Canis lupus familiaris: one gene and its partners. The main gene of each other region encodes a partner of the protein of the gene in region 3 in a complex. Links are inferred from orthologs where the notes say so. Each region holds a gene or a part of one and is shown on either strand. Other genes may lie near its edges. The genes, in order: ARID2, SMARCD2 and SMARCA4.

Evidence for each region.
Region 1: SMARCA4 (region 3) and ARID2 share a complex: the UniProt entries of both Homo sapiens proteins name them as parts of the SWI/SNF-B (PBAF) chromatin remodeling complex. The link is inferred for Canis lupus familiaris from reciprocal best matches to the Homo sapiens genes SMARCA4 and ARID2.
Region 2: SMARCA4 (region 3) and SMARCD2 share a complex: the UniProt entries of both Homo sapiens proteins name them as parts of the BAF complex. The link is inferred for Canis lupus familiaris from reciprocal best matches to the Homo sapiens genes SMARCA4 and SMARCD2.

The regions. Positions count from the first base shown.
Region 1 is NC_049248.1:37,971,067-37,974,746, reverse strand, and holds the start of ARID2 (AT-rich interactive domain-containing protein 2), read right to left. Parts: upstream 2,810-3,680; 5' UTR 2,659-2,809; coding exon 2,567-2,658; intron 2,379-2,566; coding exon 2,285-2,378; intron 1,062-2,284; coding exon 964-1,061; intron 1-963. UniProt on the Homo sapiens protein: Involved in transcriptional activation and repression of select genes by chromatin remodeling (alteration of DNA-nucleosome topology). Required for the stability of the SWI/SNF chromatin remodeling complex SWI/SNF-B (PBAF).
Region 2 is NC_049230.1:15,132,206-15,135,851, forward strand, and holds part of SMARCD2 (SWI/SNF-related matrix-associated actin-dependent regulator of chromatin subfamily D member 2), read left to right. Parts: intron 1-1,739; coding exon 1,740-1,924; intron 1,925-2,121; coding exon 2,122-2,164; intron 2,165-2,306; coding exon 2,307-2,429; intron 2,430-3,593; coding exon 3,594-3,646. UniProt on the Homo sapiens protein: Involved in transcriptional activation and repression of select genes by chromatin remodeling (alteration of DNA-nucleosome topology).
Region 3 is NC_049241.1:50,578,713-50,581,851, reverse strand, and holds part of SMARCA4 (transcription activator BRG1), read left to right. Parts: exon of another isoform or gene 1-813; coding exon 814-922; exon of another isoform or gene 923-1,299; coding exon 1,300-1,401; exon of another isoform or gene 1,402-1,572; intron 1,573-3,139. UniProt on the Homo sapiens protein: ATPase involved in transcriptional activation and repression of select genes by chromatin remodeling (alteration of DNA-nucleosome topology).

The DNA of each region.
Region 1 (3,680 bases), on a different chromosome or scaffold from region 3:
ACAGCAATAAATACGAAGAGCACCCTCTGAGTTTTAAATCACCACCACCACCTAAAGACCCTCTATGAGTAAGCAAGCATTAAAAATAAAAGATGACCTCATAATAGGTTACAATATGAAAATATTCTTAGCAGAAAAAGGAAAAAATAAAGCTTAATCAGAAAATACAATATCTAAAGCGTACCACACATCAACTAAGAAACTTACTTTGTCAAAGACTGTCAAAAAAGGAGGGAGAGAATGAAAGAAAATCCAAATCATAGTATTCCATTTCATAGTATCCTTAATCTTCCTACATATATAATAATCCTTCTGAACGTTTTTAAGTCACTCAAAAATCCCAAAGAACTTATTCTAAAAAGAATCCTGGTCACCTAAGGCACCAAACATGCTATGCTGTGTGTAAATATTCTACTGAAAAACTACTCTGTTACACGGTTCCATGCAAGAGGTATCATTTTTGTTTTGTTTGAGAATCTTAAAGTGAGGATTTTAAAAGGCAAAGGAGTTTCCGAAGCCAAGCAAAAATTTTCCCAGGGGATACAAAGTTTCATTAACTATCTTAACTCTTTTACTAAGCATCACCTCTCTGCCCCTCCGTGGATATCAACCAATCAATAACAATGTCACAAAAGAACGTTTACCAAGATGGGAGGTGGGGTGTCACCTGTAATGATCCCGTATGAAAAATGTAAACAGTCCTAAAATAGGCGAGGAAAACTTTCACCTTCCTATACAACCTCACTTTATGGATATTTGATGTTTGTCGGACTGAAAAGATGAAGACAAGTTTAGAAACTGGTGTGCAAGGTTTGTTTGGGGGGAGTGGGGGGCTTATCCCTACCACCACCACCAAAAAACAAACAAACAAACAACAACAACAACAACAACAAAAAAAACACCCACAAATCTCCCCTTGAGTCCCTCAGTTCCAAATACTGTGCAAGAGTCACTACTACTCACCGCAAGTAATACTGTTTTAAAGCAAAGGCAGCGTTAGAACAACTTCTGGGAAAGTTGAACTCTTCAACAATTTCTCCCCACTGATTCTTCTCAGAAACCTGTTAAAAACACAGCCACACTTGTCTGAGAGTGCACCGTCCAGGGAGACTGCAGCCTAACCGTGAAATAAATACCCATTCTACAGAGATCTGAGGATACACCACCTCGGGCATCAGTGGGTGTTTGGGATCGATCCGTGAGGAGAACTAAGCAAGGGAGTGTGTGTGTGGGGGGGGGGGGGGCTCGAATCACTGTGTTTTCACCCGAGAGCCCTGTATTTAATAGCACTTGTTTTGTTTGGGGGGGGGGGGGGCGGCGGCGGCGGGGGGCCCGGGAGGGGGTGTGTGGGGGAGACTGGTGGGTTTGTTTTGTTTTTGAAGCCCGGACAATAACCAATCGCAAGTCCCTCTGTCGCCCCCTTTTAAATCTCAACGCGGTCCGTTTACACTAAAAAAAAAAAAAAAAAAAAGTTCAAAAGGATCAATACTGTTCCGGACAGCGACGTCGGCGGGTTCCGGGGGGGGGGCCGGGCCCGGGGCCGCTCCCGATCCCTCTCCCACATCTCTCCATCTCCATAGGCCCTTCTTTGAGGCCTACAGCTTCTGCCTAGCCTTGAAGCCTAAGATGGCTATTTGGAGACAGGTCCTGGTTTCTTTTGTTAGCCGTATAAACCGAGGGCGACGGGGCCGAGGCTGTGCCCCCGGCCGCCGGGATCATTTGGCGGCCGATTATCGATGTGAAACCTGCCCGCGCTAATTTTGAGTTGCACGAAAACTGCTCTCAGAGTCTGTGTGTCTCTGTGTCTCCGCCTGTGCTAGAGCGGCAGCCGCGGCGGAGCCGACTCGCGAGCGAGCGGGCGGGCGGGCGCGCGGGCGGGCGGGCGGGCGGGCGGGCGCGGGGCGGCGGGGCTCGGCCGGGCGGCGGGGCTCGGGCGGGCGCCCCCTGCACGCCCGCGCTCCCCGCCGCGGCGCTCGGACCCCGCCGGGCCGGCCGGCCGGGCGGGCGGGCGGGCGGGCGGCGGGCAGGGCGCGAGCCGGCGCCGGGCCGCCCGCCCGCCCGAGCCCCGCCGCCCCGCCGCGCGCACGCGAGCCACCAGGCCAAAAAAACAGCCCCGCCGCCCGGCCGCCTCCGTGCCACCGGCTGCGAGCGCCGAGAACGCCTTTTGCCCCCGCGGGCCACCGGGCCCCCCCCGCCCCGGGCCCCGAGCGCCCACTCCGGGGTCAAAGGAGACTTTTCGGAGCAGGCCAGCGAGAGGGAAATACGAATTAAAACTTCCACTCACCTTCGCGAATCCGCCTAAAGTAGTGACTCTGGTGTAGAGACCGTGAAGATCCAGCTCCTTCCCACCCACCGCAGGGATTTTTTTAAAAGGCGACCTGCGGGAGAGGAGACGAGAGAGAGAGAGAGAGAGAGAGAGGAGAGGAGAGCGAGAGGAGAGCGAGAGAGAGCGAGAGAGAGAGAGAAAGCCCCGCACTTGTCAGCCGGGACCCCGCGCCCGGCCCGGGCGGGAGAGCCCCGTTCGCCCCGGCTCGCCCCGGCGCTGCCCCCCCGGCTCTGCGCTCACCCTCTGCTGTGGTGGAACTGCCGCAGCTCGTCCAGGAAAGCGAGTCCCTTTCTCCGCTCGTCCGGAGGCGCCTTCCCCGTCGAGTTTGCCATTATTTTTGCAAAGGAGGTTTCAAAAAAAACCCGGATCGGCGTCTTAAAAGCGGCCCCCGCTCCCCGCGCGTCCTACCAGAGCCCGGAGCCCATTCCTCGGCCGGCGGCGGCGGCGGGGCTCAGTCATGGGCCGGCGGTGGCGGCGGCGGCGGCGGCGGCGGCGGCGGCGGCGGCGGCGGCGGCGCAGGGAGGGAGGGAGGGAGGGGGAGGAGGAGGAGGAGGAGGGGAAGGAGGGAGCCGGAGGCCGGGGGGAGAGGAGGGAAGGAGGGAGGGGAATTTCTAAAAAAGTTTAAAGAAATCGGAGCGAAACTAGAGGGGCAGGCGACTGCCGGATCGGCGCGAAGCCGCGGGGCGAGCGCGGCCCCCACCCCTTCCTTCCCTCCCTCCCTCCCTCCCTCCCCGCGGCCCGGCTCTCGCCCGCCTCTCAGCGCCGCCGGCCCAGGCGGCTCGGCCTGCGGACGCGATTCAACATGGGGCTGCTGCCGGGGGCGCGCGGGCGGGCGAGGGGCCGGGCGAGCCGACGGTGAGCGGCCGGAGGCCCGGAGTTTCGGCGGCGGCGGCGGCGGCGGCGGCGGGGCTGGGGCAGGCGGGGCTGGGGGTGGGGAGGGGGAGGTCTGTGTGGTGGTTTGTGGAGAGAGGGGTGACAGCGTGTATTCCGGCCGCGGCTCCGCGGGGCCCTCGCACACATTCACGCGCGGCCTGGGCCGCGGCGGCCGGGGCGTCCCCGGGCAGAAAGCACCGGCGGCGGCCGAGCCGCTGCGCGCCGCCCGCCCGCTTCCTTCCCCGCCAGCCTCGCTCTCTGCCGCCGCCGCCAGCGCCGCCGCCGCCGCCGCCGCCGCCGCCGCCACGGCCGGGCAGCCAGCGCCGCACAGCGACCCCCGAGGGCCGGCCGCGGCACTGCGCCCGGCTCCACACCGCCCCGGCAGCTCCTCGCGGGGAACAATAGACTCGGCTCGCCGGGCTTAGGGTTCATCTGCAATGTGCCGCACATTTCACACGCACACAAAGCCGGCGGAAAGGGG
Region 2 (3,646 bases), on a different chromosome or scaffold from region 3:
GAGGAGCCTTTTCCACCCCCTGCCGCCTTGACTTGGGGCTTCCTGCTGCCGGAGCACCTGCCTGGGAGGGACGGGTAGTGCCGGGAGGTTTTGTGTACACCCCAGTGCATGGCTTCCCAGGGACCACAGGGCCCTGGCTTCCTCTCTGCAGACCCCACTGCTTCTGTTGCTCCTCCTCTGGCTTGGGGTGGGGAAAATGTGTCTAGGATGTCTGGAGCCTGGGCTTACAACTGTGGCCACACTAGAGGTTTTTTCTGTAATCTCTGGCCATGGCTCATTAAGGCTGAGAAACAGGCTTTCACCTTTGAACAGCTCAGATGAATCTTTTCGTGATGAGGAGAAGTTGTGGCAGGACTCCCGAGCCCCCCCCCCCCCCCCCATGTTTAACTCCTCCTCCCACCTGCTCTTCTTTGCCCTTCCCTCCATCTCTGGTTATTTTTCTCCATCTCTGCCTCTGGTCAAGAGTCTGACCCTCTGTGCCGAGAACATGAGTTCAGTGCTAGATGAGAAAGTGGGGGAAGAATCTCATCTCCATGATACTGGGTGGGAGGGTGTGTGATACAGGGGGGGTCCTCTGATTTGGTGCAATTCCACACCCAGCCTGGCTTGGTTGGGTAGTTGTGCCGGTTGCATAATCTGGGCCCTGGGGCCAGCCCTGTGAAACTGCCAGGGACAGTGTGTGCAAGGCAGAGCTGCCAAACAGGCCTTGCCGGCAGCAGCTGTGGAGAGGGGGGCTGAGGGCCGGGGTTACTCCCAGAAATGTTGGGGAGCTGGGTTTGGATGGGAAATCCTTCTGCGGGCTTCTACAGAAGCCGTTTTTGTCACCCAGATTCCTGGTGGCCCAATGAGTGATCTCTTATCCCAGGATAATCTCTCCATTCTCCAGTTTGAGGTTGTGGGGCTGGGTTAAAGCCCAGCAGCCTCAGCTGCCAGGTGGTGCGTAGACCACAGGGTCCAGGGGCCAGCTGCTCTCCCACAGGCCACCCCGGAGCCCCAGCTCTCCTCTTGGGGTCTTCCGTGTTGGGGTAGGGAGCAGGGCAGCCCAGAGCTAGAGAGAAGGGTCCGGTTCTGGGCTCTAAGTAGGGGCCATATGGTGACCAGATGGTCTCTGTGCTCCGCCTGAGGCCACCCCCTCCAGCTGGGACGTGCTCCAAGCCTTCCTGCTGGAGCTTGCTCACCTGGGGTAGGCTTGCCAGCCCTGTGGACGGCTGTCCTCCCCGTGGTCACACCACTGCGCTGGTGCCAGGGGATGGAGGCTGGGGTTGTGCCTGTTCATGTCACACCACAGCCTCCACCTGGCTGGGACACTGCCCCACGCCATGCTTTTCTCTCAAACTGGGAAGGAAAAGGCCTGCGGTGCCGTCTGAGGGCGTGGGGACTGGCTGTAGAGCCTCACTGCCACTGCCGGCTGGTCCCGGGAGCAGGGTACGGCCCCAGGGGGCTGGAGGGTGGTGACAGGCCCTTCCCTCTCGGCAGGACTCTCCTCCCACCCCTGGGTGCGGGCAGGCCTCATTGGCTGCCAGCGATGCCCGGGTGGGGGGGCGGGGGCAGGGCAGGTGTGGTTTACATTTCTGCCCTCCAGCACCTGCTCTCCTTTGTTCCCAGCCCTCCCACTTGAGCTCCACAGTGTGCTGCTGTGGGCCAGCCCCGGGCCCAAGAGAAGGATGGAGAGAATGGGCTGTGGGCCCCGGGGTGCCCTGCCGCTGACCTATGCGCCCCCTTTGGTTTGCTTCCCCCAGCGGCCTGGTATGTCACCGGGGAGCCGGATGCCCATGGCTGGCTTGCAGGTGGGACCCCCTGCCGGCTCCCCATTTGGCACAGCTGCTCCACTTCGACCTGGCATGCCACCCACCATGATGGACCCATTCCGAAAACGCCTGCTGGTGCCCCAGGCCCAGCCCCCAATGCCCGCCCAGCGCCGGGGGTAAGACCATCCTGTTTCTCCTCTCTCTACCCAGCTCAGCTCTAGTGGTAGCAGAGCAGTTCCTTCTGCCCTAAGAGCTCTGATAACTGAGGAAGACTCCTGGCTCTTCCTGGGGAGGAACCCAGGGGCTGGAAGGGTGGGTGGGGGGAGGTGTGTTTGGACCAATGAGGTCTTAAACGAGTTTTTGTCCTCCCTAGGCTAAAGAGGAGGAAGATGGCAGATAAAGTTCTACCTCAGCGAGTGAGTATGTTGGGCGGGGGCCGACGAGGCCTGCCCAGTGGCTGGCAGACTGTGGGTGCTATCAAGCTCCCCCAATCCTGGGATGGGCGAGCAGGGAGCCAGAGCTGCTGCTTAAACAAGCCAAATTCCTTCCTTCCTCCAGATTCGGGAGCTTGTCCCAGAGTCTCAGGCGTACATGGATCTCTTGGCTTTTGAGCGGAAGCTGGACCAGACCATTGCCCGAAAGCGGATGGAGATCCAAGAGGCCATCAAAAAGCCTCTGACGGTGCGTGTGCAGCCCTGGCCAGTCCTTGGCCCTCAGACTTCTCTGCCTCTCCTTGGCCTTGATTGCCAGAGGCCAAGCATGGGGCTGTGATTTCTTGCACTGCCGGATGCAGCCCATTAGTGAAGCATGAACTCAATTTCATGTGGTGGGACCAGCATGTTTTTAACAAAATACAAAATAGAAGTTCTAGGGCAGCTTGGGTGGCTCAGCAGTTTAGCACCGCCTTTAGCCCCAGGGCGTGATCATGGAGACCCGGGATCGAGTCCTGCATCCGGCTCCCTGCATGGAGCCTGCTTCTTCCTCTGCCTGTGTCTCTGCCTCGCTCTCTCTCTCTTTCTCTCTCTCTCTCCCGTGAACAAATAAATAAAATCTTAAAAAAGTAGAAGTTCTAATACTTCACAGTAGTATAGTACTTACCATAGTGGTGAAAATGTCATTTTTTTTTTTAAGATTTTATTTATTTATTCACGAGAGACAGAAAGAGAGGCAGAGACATAGGCAGAGGGATAAGCAGGCTCCATGCAGGAAGTCTGACGTGGGACTCAATCCCAGAACTCGGGGATCATGCTCTGAGCCAAAGGCAGATGCTCAACCGCTGAGCCACCCAAGCGTCTCAGAAAATATCATTTCATAACATTTTGTTTCAGATATTTGTGTATGTATGTGGATCCTTGATCATGATTGAAAGCGTGATTCTTATGGATTGTGGTCAGAAGTTTGCAGGGCAAGACTAGAGGGTAGATAAGGGTAATTCCAGTCTCCTCCCACACCTCCCCACTCCTTTTAAAAAATAATACTCTAAAACAGTCCCCTGAGTAATGAAAGCTTTCCAGAGACAAGGTTACTTTGGGGCCTGATGACTGAGTTGTGTTTAAAGTGTGAGCTGGAAGCTTCTGATTTGCCCGATAAAACCCTGTATGTCCCTGTCACCCCACCGATCCCACTGTGCTGGAATTCGGAAGTCCCATCTGCCTCCCCCAGGACTGTGAGTTCCTTAAAGTCTGGGCCTGGGATTTCTGACTCCTGGTTTCCAGTGCCTAGCAAGGTGCCTGGCCCCTCATCCACAGGCAGTATCCATGCTGAATGAGTCCAGACAGAAACATCGGGTAGCACTGTGTCCCAGCATGTTGGCCCACTGCTAGCTGGCTGTCTTTCTCGCTCTAGCAAAAACGAAAGCTGCGCATCTATATTTCCAATACGTTCAGCCCCAGCAAGGC
Region 3 (3,139 bases):
TCCCTGTCTCCAGTCTCCAAAAAGAGAGACTGTACTCATAAGAGTAGTCTTCTCCTGTCTGCCAGTCCTTGAAGTGCCTGCTCACTCTCTCCTCAGGGAGGCCTGAGGAGTGATGTCCCTTCAAGCTCCTGGCCCCAGACAGATCCAGACCTGGACGTGGCACAGCCTGGTGGCCAAGTGCACGGCACCTGCATATGTGAGGCCCAGGAGACAACACTTAAGACCCTGCCACATCTCAGGGTTGCTCACAGTGTCTTTTCTCTGCTCCCTCGTGAAAAACCAGTACTTTCCCAATTGCAAGAACTAGAAAACCGCTCAGGTCTTCCGCTAGGGTCTTTCCAGGGGGCATTTCTCCTCCACGGGTTTTGCCAAATTCTCTGAAGTTCACTGCTCCTAAGTGCTGCCTATGAGAGACATGCTTGCAAAACTTGCAAAAACTGGTCTCTCTTTGAGAACTGGCACTTACTGCTCCCAACCACCATAAGCAAACTGATTTTTGCAAAGTACATAGGTGTAATCATGATTCTACCTCTTTGGAGTGCCAAGGCTTCTATTGCACAGCATTTGGCAATGTTTCCTCCAGGGGCTTTGGAGGTTGGATGAGGGCAGAGCCTGCGTTCAAATGCATTCCTGGCCTCTCTTTGCATGTTTTCCTCTCAAGAATGTTCCAGAACTCACAAGACAGTACATGTACAGGAAATAACTCCAAAGTGCTTTGAATTTCTCATTCCTCAAGCAATGGGTGGTGGCCAAGTGGGGGCTCCCCCAGCAGGCAGGGCCTGTGAGTGACGCCCACTGTGTCCCACCTTGCAGTAGTAGTGGACGTCAGCTCAGCGAGGTGTTCATCCAGCTGCCCTCCCGCAAGGAGCTGCCCGAGTATTACGAGCTCATCCGCAAGCCTGTGGACTTCAAGAAGATAAAGGTAACCCTGGCATAAGATGTGGGAAGTGGGGATTCTCTACAGGGATGTTTGGGGAATCTGACCCAGTCCCTCCCCAATATGGGCCCCCCCGGGGTGCATGGGAAAGATGACCACAGAGCAGACTGAGCAGAGCCTGGGCTGTCTGGCCGGGATCCTAGTCACAGGCTCTTGGGATTCCTCAGAGCTCCTTCAGGGTTATCCATGGCCTAAGCTTCAGCAGTGCAGCTCTTGTGTTCAGTGGGCCCAGGCTTCCAAGTCTACAGAAGCACCCAAAAGACTGGGCCCATGACCTTATGAGGCAAAGGGATTCCTGGCCTCAAGGTCCCTGGGCACAAGGCAAATTCCCAAGCTAAGGCTGCCTCTCCCATCACCCACAGGAACGCATCCGCAACCACAAGTACCGCAGCCTCAATGACCTGGAGAAGGACGTCATGCTGCTGTGCCAGAATGCTCAGACCTTCAACCTGGAGGGCTCCCTGGTGAGGAGGCACCTGGGTTGGAGGGCACCCACTCCTAATTTTTGCTGTCTTTGCAGCTGGGCTCCAATTAAGCATGCCCCTTGCTCTGTTTTAAATTGACTGGATAAGGGGATCCCTGGATGGCTCAGCAGATAAGCGTCTGCCTTCAGCCCAGGGTGTGATCCTGGAGTCCTGGGATCGAGTCCCACGTCAGGCTTCCTGCATGGAGCCTGCTTCTCCCTCTGCCTGTGTCTTTGCCTCTCTCTCTGTCTCTCTGTCTCTCTCTCTCTGTCTCTCATGAATAAATAAATAAAATCTTTAAAAAATAAATAAAATTTACTGATTAAGGGGTGCCTGGGTTTCTCAGTTGAGCGTCCAACTCTTGATCTGAGCTCAGGTGTTTGTTGATCCCTCAGGTCATGAGTTCAAGCCCCATTTTGGGTGTTTGTTGATCCCTCAGGTCATGAGTTCAAGCCCCATGTTGGGCTCGATGCTGGGCATGGAGCCTACTTTAAAAAACAAATAATACTCTGGTTTCTCTTCAGATCGAATAAATCTTTCTCCTTTTAAAAAACAAACAAGGAAACACCCAGGTGGCTCAGTGGTTGAGCCTCTGCCTTTGGCTCAGGTCATGATCCCAGGTCCAGGGATTAAGCCCTGCATCTGGCTCCCTGTGAGGAGCCGGCTTCTCCCTCTGCCTATGTCTATGCCTCTCTCTCTGTGTGTCTCTCATGCATAAATAAATACAATCTTTAAAAATAAAAAGACTTTTAAAAAATAAAAAACAAACGAAAACAATAAATTGATTAAAATAGAATTCCCAGGGCATTCTGGATGGCTCAGCGGTTTAGCGCCGCCTTCGGCCCAGGGCATGATCCTGGGGACCCGGGATCAAGTCCCATGTCGGGCTCCCTGCGTGGAGCCTGCTTCTCCCTCTGCCTCTGTCTGTGCCTCTTTGTCTCTGTGTGTTTCTCATGAATAAATAAATAAAAAGTCTTTAGGGGATCCCTGGGTGGCGCAGCGGTTTGGCGCCTGCCTTTGGCCCAGGGCGCGATCCTGGAGACCCGGGATCGAATCCCACGTCGGGCTCCCTGTGCATGGAGCCTGCTTCTCCCTCTGCCTGTGTCTCTGCCTCTCTCTCTCTCTCTCTCTGTGTGACTATCATAAATAAATAAATTAAATAAACAAACAAATAAATAAATAAATAAATTTTTAAAAAGTCTTTAAAAAAACAATAGAAAAAAGAAAAAAAAAACAATAGAATTCTCAACCACTTGGAATATTTTGTCAATTATAAAAGCAGCGTATTCCTTACTAAAAGATGCAGAAAGAACAATAAGCAGATTAGCGAAAATAAACTCCGTCTAACCCATCCAAGATGACCTGTGAGCAATCTGGTGGGTGTGTTTGAATTTTACTTTGAATTCACTAGGACTTCCTTAAAAGGAATCCTGTGGATGTGTCCTTTCCTGCAATGAAATTAACACATACATTACTGCAACTTAGCAAACTTTTCCTGACTGTGCTTAGGGTAGATGCTACACGGAAAAGAGATTTTACAGTCCTAAATTTGAGGGAAATGCTGCCTTAAACAAAGGACATGCATTTCCAGCATTACTGCAGACCTTCTCAGAGCCCTTAGAAGCATATGCTCACTGGGATCCTTCAAAGGGAGGGAGGAACTGGTAGTCATTCCTAAATTAACACAGCCATGCTTTTCTCTGAGTCTCACGTCCCAGGCCCCAATTGGGAAAGGGTT